2 linked regions of the Arabidopsis thaliana genome follow. The protein of the gene in region 1 interacts with the protein of each later gene in a pairwise test. Each region holds a gene or a part of one and is shown in the gene's direction. Other genes may lie near its edges.

What was found. The genes of interacting proteins can lie anywhere in the genome.
Region 2: the proteins of ATCTH (region 1) and DAZ1 interact in a two-hybrid assay, tested with the Arabidopsis thaliana proteins (one large-scale study listed by BioGRID).

What each region holds. Positions count from the first base shown.
Region 1 is NC_003071.7:11,035,413-11,047,112, forward strand, and holds ATCTH (Zinc finger C-x8-C-x5-C-x3-H type family protein), read left to right. Parts: upstream 1-5,918; 5' UTR 5,919-6,061; intron 6,062-6,153; 5' UTR 6,154-6,404; coding exon 6,405-7,352; 3' UTR 7,353-7,844; downstream 7,845-11,700. Other genes in the region: AUR2 (ataurora2), read right to left, coding at 38-134, 227-322, 404-499, 596-742, 833-940, 1,386-1,598; AT2G25890 (Oleosin family protein), read left to right, coding at 1,948-2,472; AT2G25905 (uncharacterized protein), read left to right, coding at 10,580-10,599, 10,676-10,793, 10,831-10,964, 11,038-11,083, 11,226-11,309, 11,387-11,505, 11,576-11,677.
Region 2 is NC_003071.7:7,472,112-7,479,683, reverse strand, and holds DAZ1 (C2H2-like zinc finger protein), read left to right. Parts: upstream 1-2,000; 5' UTR 2,001-2,036; coding exon 2,037-2,849; 3' UTR 2,850-3,022; downstream 3,023-7,572. Other genes in the region: AT2G17190 (ubiquitin family protein), read left to right, coding at 1-173, 258-371, 474-529, 919-947, 1,092-1,181, 1,264-1,412; AT2G17170 (Protein kinase superfamily protein), read right to left, coding at 3,246-3,326, 3,410-3,601, 3,698-3,783, 3,853-3,922, 4,002-4,129, 4,450-4,585, 4,655-4,948; AT2G17160 (Interleukin-1 receptor-associated kinase 4 protein), read right to left, coding at 5,672-5,737, 5,972-6,160, 6,898-6,930. UniProt on the Arabidopsis thaliana protein: Mediates the regulation of male germ cell division by DUO1.

The sequences.
Region 1 (11,700 bases):
TTTAGAATCACACAAGAGAGAGAGAGCTTTCTCTTACCCATCTCAGGTGGAAGGTAATCCAAAGTGCCACACATAGTCCTTCTACGGTTGAATGTGTGTACTGACCATCCAAAATCTGCAATCTTGAGCTCACCCTGAAAACATATATCCATGAATACATAAACACATAAGCTAACTGCAATCACATGGCGTTGATGGAGAAAGATAACCAGATTCAATTTGTTACCTGAGCACCAATCAACAGATTTTCAGGTTTTATATCTCTGTGAATTACATGCTTTCCATGGCAATAGATGAGGGCTCTAGCCAATGACGCAACATACTGCCACAATAAACGTAAGGGTATGACTACACAGATTCACATTAACATGCTAGAATAAGTTCAATTATCACTAGGACTTACAGTTGCTGCTCGACGTTCGCTGAAGTACTTGCACTTCTGAAGCTCTTTATAAAGCTCACCCCTTACAGCATACTCCAAAATCAAATAAACTCTTTTCTGCAACAACGGTATCCCAAAAACTATGTTAACCTCACAGAGCCAAACATTGTATGTCAACAAGAAGTTCTTTTACAAGCACAGATAACACAAAACCTGATCATAGAAGTAACCGTAGAGCCGCAGAATATTGGGATGCCGAAGATGAGATTGAATCTCTACTTCCCTTCGTAACTGGTGTTCAACTTGAGATTGTTGAAGCTGAGCCTTAAAAAGAACCTTTAAAGCCACAATGTGATCGCTCTGTTTGCAAAGACACATAGAAGACAGCTTGGTTAAAAAAGACATCAAATTAATTCTGCTTGTTTAACATAATTGTGAAGAAACACTAACCCGTTTCTCTCTTGCTAGATAAACATGGCCAAACTTTCCTCTACCAAGTGGCTTTCCGATATCGAAATCGCTTGTAGTCCATCTCTTTTGTGCAGCCTCTGAAGCCGCCTGATACAACATTATCACAAAGATTGAAATCCAATCAACTCTCAGATACACTTAATCATAAACGACAAACAATCATTGATACTTTAAAACTTGAAGATAAAAGGATAAAATCAACAGCTCCTTAACACTAATCCACGGATTTGTCAATTAATCTAGGGTCCTCGCTGTAAACGAATAAATCCACAATCATATCATGAAATTTCTCAAAATCATACCAACAAGTCTTTCTCAAATTAAACAGAGAACATTGAAACAAGATTCTTTCTGGCGCAAAGAAAATCAAGCAACCAAATCGATAATCCCAGATCACATTCCATTAGAACAGACCAAACGCAGAGAAAAAACGCAAACCAACAAGGAAGTAAAACCCTAAATTGAAACAAATTCGACAAAAGAACCAAATGAAATTGGAATTTGTGAAACCAAGAACAAGTTATTTTCTTACAATTTGCTGCGTCTCTGTAGAAATCCCCATGGAAGAGATCGTTGATGAGCCAAGATAGCGAGAGAAAGAGAAGAAAGAAAGAGAGAAGAGAGAGTAATTTTCACAAAGGGAACAGATCCAAATTGAGAAATTTAAAAAGGGGAAAAAACGTAAACCACCAGCAAAGCAGCAACGGTCGAATCCAGATGCTGCCACGTGTTGATACATCTGCATCGAGGTTTTTATTTTCAAATAATTTGTCTCCCGAGATGATACAGTCGCTACAGGCCCAGATATTATTAAGCCCACGGTATTCCAACTTCATAATCACTAGGATAATATACAGTCACTACAAGCCCAGATAATAGCCCAATAAGCTTCAAGATCGTTTGACGATGAGATTTTAATTCGGAACTAAGTAACCACGTGTCAGTACCTCGTCAAAGTAGCTCCATGCAGAACTGACACGCCCGCGTGACACTCTTCTCCATTGCCTAACACGCCTCGTCGTTCGACACATGTCTCGTTTAAGTTTAGCCTCTCCTTCATACTAGTCTATTTTCATTCTTCATAATAATCACAAATGGTAAGCTTATTAAAGCTACAAAAACAACATAGAACATTAAATCCATACTCTCTTAGAAAAAGAAAAAAAGAAATGGCGGATCATCAACAACATCAGCAACAACAACAACCAATAATGAGGAGTCTCCATGAATCATCACCATCGACTCGGCAGATAGTGAGATTCGTAACGGCAGCTACGATCGGCCTATCACTCCTCGTGCTCTCAGGACTAACACTAACCGGAACGGTGATCGGTTTGATCGTAGCGACGCCGTTGATGGTTCTGTTCAGCCCGGTGTTGGTACCGGCAGTGATAACGATAGGGCTTTTGACGATGGGATTCCTATTCTCCGGTGGTTGTGGGGTGGCAGCAGCTACGGCGTTAACGTGGATTTATAAGTACGTTACCGGAAAACACCCGATGGGAGCGGATAAGGTGGATTACGCGAGGATGAGGATAGCGGAGAAAGCCAAAGAGTTGGGACATTATACGCACTCGCAGCCACAACAAACACACCAAACCACAACAACTACTCATTAGAGTTTAATAATTATATGGATCTATATGTTGTATTAAGTTTTATGATTATCCTACGTATGTTTTTTTAATACTGTTCTTACCTTTTTGAAAAGATCTATCTAAAATTTTATTTTCTATTTTCCATACAATTTTTTGTGTGTTTAATTGCTGATCGGTATTTTCTGTTTTATGATTGTGAAATAGCTAGTGTAAGGAAAGATGATAACGAATTAAGTAAATTAATAAATGCCAATTACTTGGTCACCGTCTGGCTTCTAGAATTATATGGTGGCTTTCTTGGTATATGTAAATGTAGTTTTGAGTGTGGTCCGTTTGATTTGAAATAATATTGTTGTTTTTATGTTCAAAAAGAAAATTGCAAGGTTTGTGAATTTTGTGTATCAATACCAAGGCTTGAACCACTTTATCTATACTCGCTAAATAAATTTCGAAGGCTGCGCTAAATGGCTCGTGTCATTTACGTTGTCTTCATGAACGTATTGTAGTTAGTGTGATTGTAAAAATATTTCTTTGTTTAATCATTCCTCAAAAATTGTATTCGGCCTTTGAGAGATGCGGTGAGGTCGTATGCATGTTTTCCCAAATTTCGAATACTTGCAAACTGTTCTATGAATGTGGTTTTTAGGTACTCATGAAATAATTGAAAACTTTACTTGTCTATATGTTCGTAAACCATTGGCATTGAATTGCATGGCATGGCTTACTATGCGCGCACCAACAAAATGCACATGCATGCTTCACGAACGTATAAAGAAGCTGAGGGTGGACAACATTCACTGCTTGTAGTGGGCAATGCAGTCTTGTAGAGCAGTTGTACTTTCAAACGAGGTTCTTTGTCAACGTCTGATTGGTTTTCTAGAATAATTGAAGGAGTACTTTTGTCCTTATCCTCGCAATGGACTGAGTAAGTTTCCTCCGCGGTTCCCTACTGGCCATGAGCTATGAATTTTTCAAGTGGTGGGTGCCAGGTGCCGGGTGGGTGCGGCGTTAGGATTATTCCTAAAGTTGAGGATCGATATACGGTTAAGTTTTTTTGTTATGGAGTGGTGTTTCGTAGTTTGTCATTGCATCAGTTTGATAATCTCTTTCTTCTAGCACCAGATTGTTTAGATAAATGTTAGGATATATGTGGAAGCAAAGGAATGATGTGGTTCACAACCAAGTCTCGATCCCAATATCAACTATCTTCAAGCTCATCGACAAAGAGATTCAGAACGTAAGCACCGCAAGACGTAAATGCAAGCGTTATTGCAACCTAATGCAAACTCTGGTTAATTTTAACTCCCACTATGTAATGTGACTTCTACATCATTTGTCTCTTTGTTTAATTTTTTGGCCAAAGATTCAAATCCATTGATATTCAGAGACAATAGTCTATATGGATTTATTAGATATAGTCTATATGGACTTATTAGATGATATTAACATTCATAGAGAAAACAACAAATTAGGATACGTTTTCTTTCTAATGAGAAAGTGAATGTACGAATGGTTGTTGGGAGGCTATTGTGTCTCGTAGATATTTTAAATAATTTGAATGTTTACTAATATAGAATGTGTATTCAATTATAACTATTTAAATTATTTTATTGTTGGTTTAGACGCATTCTTAAACTTTCACATCATTCTCTCGTGACTATTATAATAGTTATCGTGCTCGATCAATCATCTCGTGACTATTATAATTTTATCAATAGTTTATGCATAAGAGAACTGATAACGATCATACTTCTTTTTGTCATTATGATAGCTTATGATTAATCATTGTTTATCCATACTTGACGCTTGTAAGTGAAACATATGTTTAAATTTTCAGGCTTAATTTAATAGCCACGAACCAAAAATTATCTTATAATAAAAGTTTGGTGCGATTTAAGAAGATTTGTCCCCAAAGCCCTATCTGAAAGAGGTCAAATTGGATTATTAAATTCAACATATTAATCAATTTGATATTTGTTTAATGGTCTGATTAGTGACAATTATAAGTCTAATATTGCGAATCTTTTGCAGTGAGTATTCCACGTGATATAGATAAGTTTCCCTTAATGGATAACCTTTGCATCAAACAATTAGAAAACAAATGGAAGAGTATCAATCAAGTAGATCTCGAAGCAGTGGACCCTAACACGATACTGGAACATGGACCAAACCTTAAAATATCGTCCAAATTGCTTATTTTCTGGAAGGTTACAAGTGCACAACACTCTAATAATATATGCCCCGCATAACAATTTTTAAAACTATTTCATCTTAGACCTCGGATATTTTGAAGGAAGCACATTTTCTTGAAAATCACTAGGTGACTTGTGTTTCTTTCTTTGGAGCATGTCAATTTACTCCCATCAGCTGGAGAGCCAAAAGTTAAAATTAATGTTCGAAATTTATTTCATAAAAGCTACGTACGTTGCATCCTTCCATGATCTAGAAAAAATGGGGGACAATAACCAAATTTATTCACTCTTGTCAGGTCATGGGGAGTAGTCTACGACCTTGAAAGTCACGTGACAAGTAATATATACTGTACCGTCCAAATATTTTCTTACTGTAATGTCTTATGTTTCATATCGCTAGACCCTTAATATTAGTGTGGACTAATTCATATAATTGCAAATAAAATAGTATGATTCTACGATTCTTCAAAATGATCTAATAGTTACAGTCTGGTCAAAATGATCTAAATCTTTATAAACAAATAACAGCTACGGAATAATTAACACAATTTTTGGTGATAAACTTTGAGTTATGATAGAAATTTTTTTTTTTTCAATTTTTAATGTGTATCTTAATTTCTTCAATTAATGTATCCCTATGTTTTATGTGACTATATAACTTTTGGTTAGTGATACTCCAAAAATGTTGTTTTAGGTTTTGACACACATATTAATAATTTGTTTTATTTTTTACTTTACAAAATTTCTTATTGGTTAAAACATAAATCACTGCAAATAAAACTTTAATTTTGTTTGTAGTCAAAATTAGCTTTTAAAAATGTAAATTGATATTTATTCTAATTATTTTTTTAATGTTCTGACAATTAATTTAAAACGGAAAGCGTAATAAAGTAGATGTTGGGGCTGATTGGTAACGGCTGTTACTTTTGAACTCTAAATATTTCGGATGTTACGACTTTGACTGTAAAAATTTTGGTTGTAAAAATTTTGACGATAGAAACTTTAACTGTTAAAGTCTGATTGGTACAAAAAAATCACAATTATTTTTATTATTATTTAATATTTTTTATAAATATTATTTATGCTAAAAAATCAATTTATTTGGTAAAATAGTAACTAAAATAAATTTATTTTAAAAAAATACAAAATTCATTTTACAAATTCACTATTTTAAATATTTAAATTGGATCTGAAAAGAACAGAAAAAATAAAATTCGAATTAATCAATCGATTTTTTAATGATAAAATATAAATAAATTTGAAAAGAGTTTTGAAATTTTATGGATAAAGAAAAAATATTTTTATTTTGTTTTATTATTCTCTTTTAAAGTTAAAGACTTTAGGAAAAAAACAAAAGAAAAAAAGTAAATGGAGAGAAAAAAGCTTTTAAAACTTTAAAAATTAATAAAGTTTTAAAAGTGTGATTGATTAAAAAATAAATTTGAAAATTTTTAAATATTTTTAAAGCTTTGAAAACATTTTTTTTTTTTTTGGGGGGACAAATATGAAGAAAAAAAAAAAAAAAAAAAGACGAACATGAAGGGGAAAAAAACAAAAGACGAACAAAAATTGGAGATTTTTTCTTACACGTGTCATCATCTGCAGATTTGCGCTTATTAATTGTTTACCGTACGGTATTGTGGATAGGGTCAAGATTTTCATAACTTTACCGTAGTTAATATTTGACCCAACCATGGTTAAAATAAAGCAGTTTATATCACAGACACACACCTCTCTCTCTTCTAGACTCACTAAACAAAAATGATGATCGGCGAAAATAAAAACCGGCCACATCCAACGATCCATATCCCTCAATGGGATCAAATCAACGATCCAACGGCCACAATCTCTTCACCATTCTCTTCCGTCAACCTTAACAGCGTTAACGACTACCCACACTCTCCGTCACCGTATCTCGACTCCTTCGCTTCTCTCTTCCGTTACCTCCCGTCAAACGAGTTAACAAACGATTCAGACTCATCAAGTGGCGACGAGTCATCACCACTCACCGACTCATTCTCCTCCGACGAGTTTCGCATCTACGAGTTCAAAATCCGGCGATGCGCTCGAGGTCGATCTCATGATTGGACGGAGTGTCCGTTCGCACATCCCGGAGAAAAAGCTCGACGACGTGATCCGAGAAAGTTTCATTACTCCGGCACCGCTTGTCCTGAGTTTCGTAAAGGAAGTTGTAGAAGAGGTGATTCGTGTGAGTTCTCTCATGGAGTTTTCGAGTGTTGGCTCCATCCTTCTCGTTACCGTACTCAGCCGTGTAAAGACGGAACTAGCTGCCGGAGAAGAATCTGTTTCTTCGCTCATACGACGGAGCAGTTACGTGTATTACCTTGTTCGTTAGATCCAGATCTTGGATTCTTCTCAGGATTAGCTACTTCTCCGACTTCGATTCTTGTTTCTCCTTCGTTTTCACCACCGTCGGAATCTCCGCCGCTTTCTCCGAGTACCGGTGAACTTATTGCGTCGATGAGGAAAATGCAATTGAACGGAGGTGGTTGTTCGTGGAGTTCTCCGATGAGATCTGCAGTTAGGTTACCTTTTTCGTCGTCTCTGCGTCCGATTCAGGCGGCAACGTGGCCGAGGATAAGAGAGTTTGAGATCGAAGAAGCTCCGGCGATGGAATTTGTGGAATCTGGGAAAGAGCTGAGAGCGGAGATGTATGCAAGACTCAGTAGAGAGAACTCACTCGGTTGAGTCGACTTGGATCGAGTCTTTGATGACGTGGCGACTCGATCTGATTTTGTGAATATTTTAGAGATTTTTAAGGTGTTGTGGATAAATGACGTGGCGGGTCGATCTTAGTGACGGTACAATCGGACGATGAAGAAAAAAGCGTTAAGAGTAACAAAAAAAGGAAGAATTTGTAAAGAGATGATAATGAGAGAATTTGAGAGCTATTCTTCTGGCTTTTTTCTCTGCAGTTTTTTTTATTGTTTTCGTTATTTTCTTGTTTTTATTTTGGTTTTCGGCTTTATTTTGTTTGTTGTTTATTAATGTTATATCATTTTGTAATTAGTTCTCAAATGTATTTGGATAACATCTTAGTTTGAGACTTTAGAAAAGAACATTTCATTTGTTGTTTCCTTCTTATCGATTTCGTTGTTATAATAGTAAGAGGATATAAATATTTTTTGTTGGCCTGTTCTTTTTCCAAACGCTGCGATCATATCCAGCGACCAAAAAAACAGTTGCTTAACACACAATTACGTTGAAGTCTGTAGAAAGTTATGTGAAGAGGAGTCGCTCGATTTTAAAAACAGCGACCTATAAGGCATATACACGTGTCGCCAAAAAATAACAGCAACTTAACATTTTCACTAAGGACGCCGCCGGCGTCCATATTGAACGACTGTTTTTGTATCTCCGTTATAATTTTTGCTTTTCGTCGGAGTCCCTATTGCTGTCACAGCGATTAATAAACGAACAAGCCCAACAATTAATCAGAGAAAATAGTCTCGAGAAAATAACTCTCTTGCATCATATCTCTAATGAACATCAAATCTGCCTACAAATTCTATTTTTAAGTAAACATATTCCTTTTGACAAAAAAAAAAAACTATTTGGCTATTTCCAATGGTAGACTAGATCCACTCTGAAAATAGACTAATGACTAATGAATACTCATAATTTGGATAAAATTTTCATTTTCAGAATGATTTTCAAATTTAAATATGTTTTCAGTAATACACGAACAAATCTATATGTTTTAGGTATACATTGGGCATTTAATCAATACTAATATGGTTATCCAGTTAATTGAAATTTAAAAATACAACAATAATGTATTAAATTAAAAAATACAGTGACATAACAAACGATAATTTTATACATAATAAGTTATGAAATTTAACATAAAAACTCAAACAAACATAACAGAACATAGACTAGTAAACAGTTTTGTTTAAAAACTAATAACAAAAAAGAAATAGAATATGGTACACAAAAGAGAGTAATGGTAATCAATCCTATTTGCTTCGTGCAAATAGAGAGCATGAGACTCTTATTACTTACTTAGTTTGAGGAGAAAAGCTATGTTTTTTGTATTTTAATTATTAATTTTGAATAATGTATTGGTAGAACTTCTCTTATGAAATGAGATGTTTTTCTATTTTAATTTTCCTATTTATTGATTATGCTTTTTATATAATAGCTAATTTTTTAAAAAACATATTATTTAATTTGAATCGTTTTTGAGTAATGATATGAATGTAAAATCAAAATTTCACGTAACTTTCAAATTTAATACTAAAAATAGTTAGCATCAATAATTAAAAATGATACCAAAGGATTTATAACCTCACTAACAAAAATGATGTTTATCTTAAATTATAACATCATTTAAAAGAGTGATGCTAAATTGTTTTAGTTTCACTGAATTTAGCATCGCTTTCTAAAATGACTATATAATTCTACCGTCAGTTTAAAAGTCAAACTAACTTATAAAAAAAAAACTGATGCCAGATTTATTTATTTATTATCTTTTTAAAAAAATTTTAGTGATGATGCATCTCAGTATCTCAATGTTGTTTGTTTCTAACTTTCTATATTTAGTTTATAGTTTTATTAAAAAAAAAACTATTACATGGTCTAAAAAATCATAATTTTAACGTGAATTGTTTATATATGCAGTGAGTAAAACAAATAAATTTTCAGAATGCATTCCTCATTTATGAGAGAAGGAGTGTAATTTCTTCGCTTACTTTTTGAATGGAAGAAATCGTGTAATTTCTTAAAGTTGAATGATACTGCAATAATTATACAAAATGTTACTAATTAAGTAAAAAAAAAAAAGAAGAACAATACAAGGAACTAACAAACACAATTTTTTTTTTTATGCAAAATATAAGTAAAATATAAGTAAAAGATAAGCAAATGTACAATTTGGTTTTGATTAACCTATGCGTTTTTTTAGTATTTGGTCAAACCACGAATTAACTTGTTTCCAAAAACAAATTAGAAAAATTTCTGACTTTGGTTTGGCATGGTCTACAGCAGAGGGCAGAGAATCGATCAGGACAAAGTGTTTTGGAACAGCTGGTTACATTGCACCAAAATAAGCATGTAAGATTCTTCTTTAATATGTCAATATTTACATCTGATCACCAATATATTTGATTTATGACTCCTCTTTGTAATTACAGTGACTAACTACAAAAGCTGATGTCTATAGCTTTAAGGTACTTCTCATGGAATTAGTACCAGCCATCAAGCTATTATATGAAGATGATCATCACATTCCCAGTTGGTTCACGAAAGTATTCATCGACAAAGACTCATTCGAAAAAGCCATTAACAAAACCATGGACCTTAACTAGAAGACCGCATCATCATTAATGATTGACTAAATAAAGATATTATTTAATCTAAATGATATATAATATATTATTATAAAATGTTCATTACAGACATAGTTTTTTTAATATATCTGATGACAAATTAATACAAATGCTTATACCAACAAATAAAAATAATGAAAGAAACTAAATGATAAATAAAACTAAAACATAAATAAATAAATAAAAACAAATACAATCTTAGAGAGATAACTCTTGAATACGTATGACCAAATTAATCTTGGTTCCCCATAAAAGATATGAGTTTCCCACTCATATGTATGCAACTTCTTGGTGTTATAATAGCTAGGTCTCTATGCGTCTCAAAATTTTGTGGTGTTCTACTTTGTAATGTCATTTTTATAAATTCGAGTTTTCTTTTTATCACTTTCGTGTTTTGTCGTCTAGAAAATTCATGGTTAATCACACGTTAAATGTAGCATTGTTGTTTAATTAGATCATTCGTGCTTTGTTTTGATCGTATAGCTCAAGAGATTAATTACAGTTTGTTTTTATCGATAAACATGAGTGAGATGGTGTTGATGACAATTGGAGTTTATAATCAAAAGTTGTAATAAAAACCTAACTATGGGAATCTTGTCACGCAGGTAAAAAAGACCCTTTATCTCGTTTCTCTTATTGTTCTCTCTAAAATCGGATTGGTGATGATTGTTGTTATAACAGCCCAAGTAGTAGTAGGAGATCATCAGATGATAGCATGAAGCTTTTTACAACAGCATTGTTTGTTATAGCTTTTGGCATTGTTATTGGACTATCTTTTCCATCTTTATGGATCACTGAGGTTCTTCTTATTTCTCTTCAAATCTTTTACTTCTTAGATTTTATACTTCGTTTGTCGCATGCCATTTTTGTATTGTGTAGACAAGTCTCCCGAGAAACCTTCTTCGCTCCACTCACTTAGAGATTCAGGAATTGCAACTCCTCACAAAGCCATTGATGATCTCAAAGGCATGTTTTATGTAGGAATTTATACCTTTTTTCATGTTTTAAGAACAAACCAAAGCTTAAGGCATGTTTTGGTGCAGATATGGGAACCATCAAATCTTTGAGGCGCTGAGAGAATACCATCCGGTATCATTGCATCCGAATCAGACTTGTACTTGCGTAGATTATGGGGAACCCTGATGAGGTTTGTCCTCACTCTTTTGATATTACAGCTTTCATATGTGATCAATGAACATTAGCTTCAATTTTATTTTCTCTGTTTCCTCAGGATTTAGTGAAACAACCGAGATATCTAGCAACAATTACAGTGGGTTATAATCAGAGACACAATATAGATGCGTGTGTTAGCAAGGTTGCTTGATATAACACTTTTTGTTTTCTGTTTTTGCTTTATAGTAAACTCATTATGATTTGTCTACTCAAGTACAGTTTTCAGAGAACTTTACTATTGTTCTGTTTCATTACGATGGGGTAACAAGTGCATGGAATGATGAGTTTGAGTGGTCGAGGAATGCAATACACATAAGTGTCAAAAAGCAGACAAAATGGTATCAATATCTTTGCTTTAACCACTTTTTTTTATCTGGTTTCTTGACTCTCTCATATTGTGAATATAAGGTGGTATGCAAAGAGATTCTTGCACTCGGACATTGTAGCACTATACGATTATATATTCATATGGGATGAAGATCTTGGAGTTGATCACTTTAATGCAGAAGAGTGAGTTTCTTCTCTGACTCTTC
Region 2 (7,572 bases), 3.6 Mb from region 1:
CTGGACTTGGTGGTCTTGGTGGGCTTGGAGGCCTTGGTGGACTCGGTATGCTGGGAGCGGACTCACCTCTTGGTGCGACTCCAGATGCTTCTCAATTGAGCCAAATACTGCAAAACCCCGCTATGTCGCAGATGATGCAAAGCGTACTTTCCAATCCACAGTACATGAATCAGGTAGCGCCTTCAGTAATCTGAATTTTAGACATTGTAGCTATTGTGAGGCTGTCTTTAATATTTTAATATTTCCTTCATTTCCAGCTTATGAGTCTTAACCCACAACTCCGAAGCATGCTAGATATGAATCCTCAGTTGAGGGAAATGATGCAGAACCCTGATTTCCTTCGCCAGTTTAGCTCTCCCGAGATGATGCAGGTTAGTTGGGCCCATGTTGTCTCTCCAGATAATTATTTTTATATCATTCAGTAGTCAAATTTCTCCGACCTAATGTTTTCTATTGTTTTTTGGTCTTTTTAGCAAATGATGTCTCTACAACAATCACTTTTCTCTCAGAATAGGAACACGGCTGGCCAGTAAGTTTGGATACCCTTTTCTGTTTTCTTTAGTTGGAACATTAGTTGAGTAGGTAATGTCCTTTATATATCATAATAGGATTTTGGGTTGATCTGTGTTTAGAAAATAGTGTCACTAGCTAACCAGGTAATTCTCTCGGTGGTGAACTATCTTATATTAAGTAATAAATGGGTTGAATCATTAGTAATGCAGCAACTCTTGTATGTTTTACTGGGCTGATCATTAGTGACCTTTATCAACGGCTGTAAAGTATTTTAGTCCTTGAAATAAACTTGAATAGGAGCATAAAAATTTTCGTTCTTTTTTGGTTCTTTCCTTTAACATTTGATATCAGTGATCTTGATTTCCATCAACCTCTATTCATGTTCCCAATCCATCTTCTTTGTAGGGATCCTACGCAAACTGGTGCTGCGACAGGTACTATATTATCTGTAATTGAAGTATGAAGGCTTCAACTAGTTCACTTAGACAGTGTGCTTTTTTTTGTTCTTTTGCTTTACTTTAATCGTATATTCATTACGTTGCTTATTGAGTAAATCACTACTATGGAAATATTTATAGGGACAGCCAATAACGGAGGACTAGATTTATTGATGAATATGTTTGGCAGCCTTGGTGCTGGCGGCCTAAGTGGCACAAACCAACCCAATGGTTAGATTCACTAGGGGCTATACTTTGATTTCTTATATATCTATTGAGATGGTTCCACTGAAACATGTCTATTTGATTCCAGTTCCTCCTGAAGAGCGATTTGCGACTCAGTTGCAACAGTTGCAAGAAATGGGATTCTACGACAGAGCAGAGAACATAAGGGCTTTGCTTGCAACCAATGGTAACGTTAACGCTGCTGTAGAACGACTCTTGGGGAGTATTGGCCAGTAACATACAGGTTCGTGAACTGATATCACTCCACTCTGGCTTCTCAATTATAGAATAAACAATGTGTTTTCTTTCAGTAATCTAATTTATGGAATTCGTATAACTACATTTATGATAGGATCGCGAACTTGTGGATAGAAAAGCCGCTCATCGATACACTATTTGTTTTCAATGGTCATCTTCTTTCCTCTTTACCCAATCCCCACAACCTTTTTTACATACTTTGGGTCGTCTGTTATCTTTCAGATTCTATTTGAAGTTGTTACCTCGTACATCTGTAGAAGTTGATTTCGAAATGTGGAATGGTTACATTTACGTTTTCTTATCTCCATTTTACTTATTAAATATAGCTGTAGTGACGTTGATAATTTGTGATTGAGCGTTAAGTTTTTCATTCGAATAACAAAGATAAATACAATAATAATTGAAAGAAAAACAAAACTTATGAGGAAAACAAAAAAAGAAATGTAAATCCGACAAAACAGGGAGAAGTAACTGCTAAGAAACCGTCGATGAAAACTAACTTGTTCTTCTTCTACTTAACCAACCATAACTCCCACTCTTCTACTTTTTTTTTTCCTCTCTTTTAGTTTTTCTGTCTTCTCTCTAGTAAGAGACTCAATAATAATGTCGAACACTTCAAACTCCGATCCCAATTCCGATATCCCATTTGCTTCCTCCAATGTAACTCTTCCTAGTTACAATCAAAACCCAAGAAGAAAACGTACTAAACTCACCAACAACGAAGTCGGTTCTTCTTCGTCTTCTCCAAGGCCTAAACCGGTCACGCAACCGGACCCTGATGCTTCACAAATCGCACGACCATGTACTGAATGTGGTAAACAATTCGGGTCACTGAAGGCACTCTTTGGACACATGAGATGTCACCCTGAACGTCAGTGGCGTGGCATCAACCCTCCTTCTAACTTCAAACGTAGGATCAACTCAAACGCTGCGTCATCATCCTCGAGTTGGGATCCATCTGAGGAAGAGCATAACATAGCCTCCTGTTTACTAATGATGGCTAATGGTGATGTCCCAACCCGTTCAAGTGAAGTTGAGGAACGGTTTGAGTGTGATGGTTGTAAGAAAGTGTTTGGGTCACATCAAGCGTTAGGCGGACATAGAGCAACACATAAAGACGTCAAAGGATGTTTCGCCAATAAAAACATAACCGAAGATCCTCCTCCTCCACCTCCTCAAGAGATCGTTGATCAAGATAAGGGCAAGAGTGTGAAGTTGGTCTCGGGGATGAATCATCGATGTAACATCTGTTCTAGAGTGTTCTCCAGTGGTCAAGCGTTAGGAGGTCACATGAGATGTCATTGGGAGAAAGATCAGGAAGAGAACCAAGTCAGGGGCATTGATCTTAATGTTCCTGCGGCGACATCTTCAGACACAACGTTAGGTTGTTCCTTGGATCTTAGGTTAGGACTTTGATATATGATAACTTAAGGTTTTATATATTTATTGGGTATTTGGTTCTTTCTCTTAATTAACAAAAAACTCTCTCTGTATATATGTGTGATACTTTGTATGATGAACGTATAGGATTGTGGTATTGTATTCTATATATAAGTTAATTAGTTTATGAAATGCAAATAGAGTTATTTACTAAATGTCCAATATTCAAGAAATTAGCTTTATGAAGTTTAAAACGTTGAATCTTTTTCCCTATGTAAAAAGTTTATATTGTTTGATCATACATGTATATGTATCATGCATGGATTATGGTGTTTCTTCACAGTGTCAGTACACTAAGTGAGAAAATCAAGATTCTTCTTCCCTAAAAATGTTGCTTCGAGAAGAGTTACTTTGTTGAAGCTATTAGCAGATTCAGGGTGGAAGTTGTTGTTGACTCGAAGATGATGCCACATCGTGCTGCTTTGTTACTTCATGCATTTCAGAAGATGAAATCTACAAGCAAAAAGATTTGGTTTTATAACATGAATGCGAAAAATCTTCAGGGATGAAATTATTGTAACAGTAAGCCTCCTTACTTCTTTTTTAGCCTGCAAGGCTTTAAGTGTTGCAACAAGCTTTTTAGTGATGCCATTCTCTATATAACCCTTCCACTGCAAACATTCAGAGGCGAGTTTTAAAACTATAGTAGCTTCTTCTGTAGAGAACTTTCCCTTCAGATTTGGATCCATGAGCTCAGTGACATCCTTTCCATTGATCATCTCAGGAGCCTAGAAACAGAGGATAAATAACCACTCAGTAAAATGTAACTTGTGTTGCAAGAAACCAAGGATTCCACAAAGTCAAGCTTGAACAGAATTACTTACATGGCTCGGAGAAATTTGCAATCCAGTTAGCAGATTCACAAGGATAGTACCAAATCTGTATGTCACATTCCCAGTCCTCACGTTCCCTACAATGAGAATATAAAACATTACATTCTGATATGAATAGTCTGAAGATACAAGAGCGAATTGGTTACCTCCTTCTCTTCGATTGTAACGGATGATCTCTTTCACCAAGCCGAAACTAGAAAGACAGGCATCACCATCCTTCAACACCAGTAAAAACAGTTTAGCATCCTTAGATCACATGACAAGGCATAGGCATGAAAAATGTTGTTTAACATACCTTATCAAACAGAACAGTGTAAGCACTTAGATTATCGTACTCGTCAAAACGTACAGAATTGCAATAATCCAATGCTTCAACTATATGATACGCCACTCGCAACCTCATTGACCATTCCATGTTCTTCTCTGTGCATCACAAAAGAAAAAAGAAACCTCAAACAGAGAATGCTAATAAGTTCTGTTTCAATCAATTCTACAAGCAGATACATTTACACCATTCTATAGCATGTCACATAAACCAACAACAATGCACTCTCTCTATCTTCAGATACGTTTATACCATTCTACACCCACAATCATGCCACAAAAACCAACAATGCAGCCTCTCTGCCAAGATTCAAAACAGAGCACATACATCTATAGAACAGATCGACTAACAATCCAGACTCTTAAGCTCATATTCACCAATTCTATATCTGAAAACGAAAGAAGAGAAGGAATCATACCCTGGAATAAACGCTTAGCAAGAGTATCATTTGGCATAAACTCTGCAACAAGAAGTCCTTCATCTTCCTCGCAGCAATATCCCAACAACTTGACAAGTCTCTTGTGCTTTAGCTCCCCAGCTGTTTTTGCGTCTTCCTGAAGAAACAAAAGAGATCAAATGAACGTTGCAAACTTTGATAACCTTTAAAAGCAAAGAAAAGGTACCGTGAAGTAGTCAGGATCATCCCAAGGCGTATTCTTGAATCTCTTGACAGCTACGAAGCCAAGATTCTCTAATAAACAACCTTTGTAGACAACATTGGAAGATTCTTCTGCGTTCTCTGATATGATCTCGTCGGAACTGAAGTTATTGGTCGCCGTGGTGATATCGGAGAGGAAGAACTCTGTGACAGGCCAGTTGACGAATCCGTCGTTCTTGCGTTCGCCGGGAGGAATCTGTGGCTGTTGTGGAGGTTGTTGATTGTTATCAAGAGGCGTCGAGAAGCAACAACCACCCATGGTTTCGTTTTCGCCGGCAAAAGCAGAGAGAATATTGAAAGCGTTCTTTGCGAGAGAGAAAGAGAAAGAGATTGTTATCACTAACAAGTGAGTTTACACAAAGGAAAGAACCTTTTATAACAGACTATTATCCCTAAAATCTAAACTCAAGATTACGCAATCTTTATCGTTGATCTTCATCTTCTAGTTATTATTATAGTTTTTTGTTATATATTTTCCTTGTTTTTTCACTAGTGGGTCAAAATTATATTTTCATATTTAGGAAGTTTGAAATTGCATGGTGGTGTGACAAGTGGATTTCAAAGGTGTATGATATTTTTTTTGGTTAATTATTTGAAAACTTTTTTAGTAGAATTATAGTTTTGCTAGTGATATTGTTAATTAATGAGATAAATTCATTTGAACCCTTTAACAAAAAGAAGAGAGAAATGTATACGTATTTTTTTTAATATATAACAAGGGTAAAAGATATCACTTCTTTTTTATATTTTTTAACATAAACTCAAGATTCTTCTTCCCTAACCATGCATGTTGTTGGATCTCTTTGCTTCGAGAAGTGTTGCTTTGTTAAAGCTACTAGCAGATTCAGTGTGGAAGATGATTCTTCTGCTTAAATTTTCCATATTAGAAGATGGAACCTGCAAGCAAGATGATGATGATCTGTTTTTTAGTACGAAAACTCATAAAGAATTCATTAAGGGTAACAATAAGTCCTATTCTTACTTATGCTTTAGTTTGACTTGAAGATGATGCCTCCAGATTCTGCTTTGTCATTTCAGAAGTTGGAATCTGCAAACAAAAGATCGGTTTTATAACTTAAGAAGAAGTTGGAATCTGCATACTTAAGAACGCTAAACAGTTCAAACTGTTGTTGTTGACTGGAAGATGCTCCCACCTCGTGCTACTTTTCCAGTTCAAGCATTTGAATGTTTGGAATCTGCAAGCAAAACGATAGGTTTTATAACACGAGTGCGAGAAATATCATCAAGAATGCATATGGTTATAGTAAGCCTAGCTCCTTACGTGTGGTTTAGTTTGCAAGGCTTTAAGTGTTGCAACAAGCTCTTTTGTGATGAGACTTTTTCTATGTTCGCACTGCAAACATTCAGAGGCGAGTTTGAAAACTAGGAAAGCTTCTTCTGTTGAGAACTTTCCCTTGAGATTTGGATTCATCAGCTCAGTAACAAACTTTCCGTTTCTCCTCACAGGAGCCTAAAAATAGGAGGATAACAACTCAGTAATATGTGTCTTGTGTGGCAAGAAATTAAGGATTACTATATCACAACTAATTTACTCAGCAGAAATGTGACTTGTGTTGCAAGGAATTGAAAAAGACAGATTCTCTAAGGATTAAAGTCACAAAGTCAAGATGAATGGCTTACATGGTTTGAAACAGAATGGCTTACATGGCTTGGAGGAATTCGCTTTCCAGTTAGCAGATTCACAATGATATTTAGTACCAAATCAATGTCACACTTTTAGGGTTCACGATTCCTACAATAAGAATATATTATATAACATCACATTCAGATATGAATAGTATGAAGAGACAAGCAAGAACTGATTACCTCTTGTTCTTTGACTTCAACATATCCATTAAGCAAATAAAAACAGTTAAGCATACTTAATTAGATCATTAAGAAGGCATAAGCTTGAAAATGTTGTTTCGTATACCTTATCAAACAGAACCGAGTAAGCACTTAAGTTACCGTACGATAAAACATGTATTATTCCAATAATCCAATGCTTCTATTCGATTGTACGGGAAATTATTATATGTATCTTTGAAAACGCCTTGTATGCACCAAGATAAGGACATAAAATTTAGTTAAATCACACCGTTTTCATTACAAAAATGTGATATCATCTTATCATGGGCATATATATATATTTTACAGGTTTTTTTTTGCTCACACAAAAATTGTTCATACAATCAGTAATTACTTTACCTCAGGGTTTGGTCTCCTAGCTTTTGTACCCATCATACTCAATCACGAGATGGTTTGACATCACACGACTTACGCTATACATAACGATTAATGAACATAATTTAGTTTTTCTTTCTTTTGTCTCGGATCGATCAATGATATTGATCTTATATGATATCAAAATCTTATAGTACTGGCAGTGAGATTAAAAACACTAATTTTAAACGACATTATTGTTACATGTGTAGATAGGACCTGCCGTATTCAGACGAATAACAAATGACAAATCTAAGAAATAGAGGAAGAGAGAGAGAGAGAAAGAGACGTCGTGCGCATTTATAGTATAAAGTATAAACCTTTGATTATTATTGATACGTTATTTATGATTTACACGAGGATTCAACTATTTTCAAAGAGTTTGATGACCTTTGGTTTGGTCATGTCATTGTCCCGGACGCGGCTAATGGGGATCGGACTATGGCTCCCCAAATCATTGAGGGCCGTTTTGATCATTTAACTAAGCGTCTAAGCCCGACCCGTTGGATATCAATGTACATATTAATATATTATATACACAAATATTCAAGTTTAATCATTAAATTTGGTTGAATGATGAAACCTAAGATGAATGATTTGTTTCTTCTGTTCGCTTTTTTTTTTTGGGTTTGTTTTTATATCGATTTAGATAATGTGTAA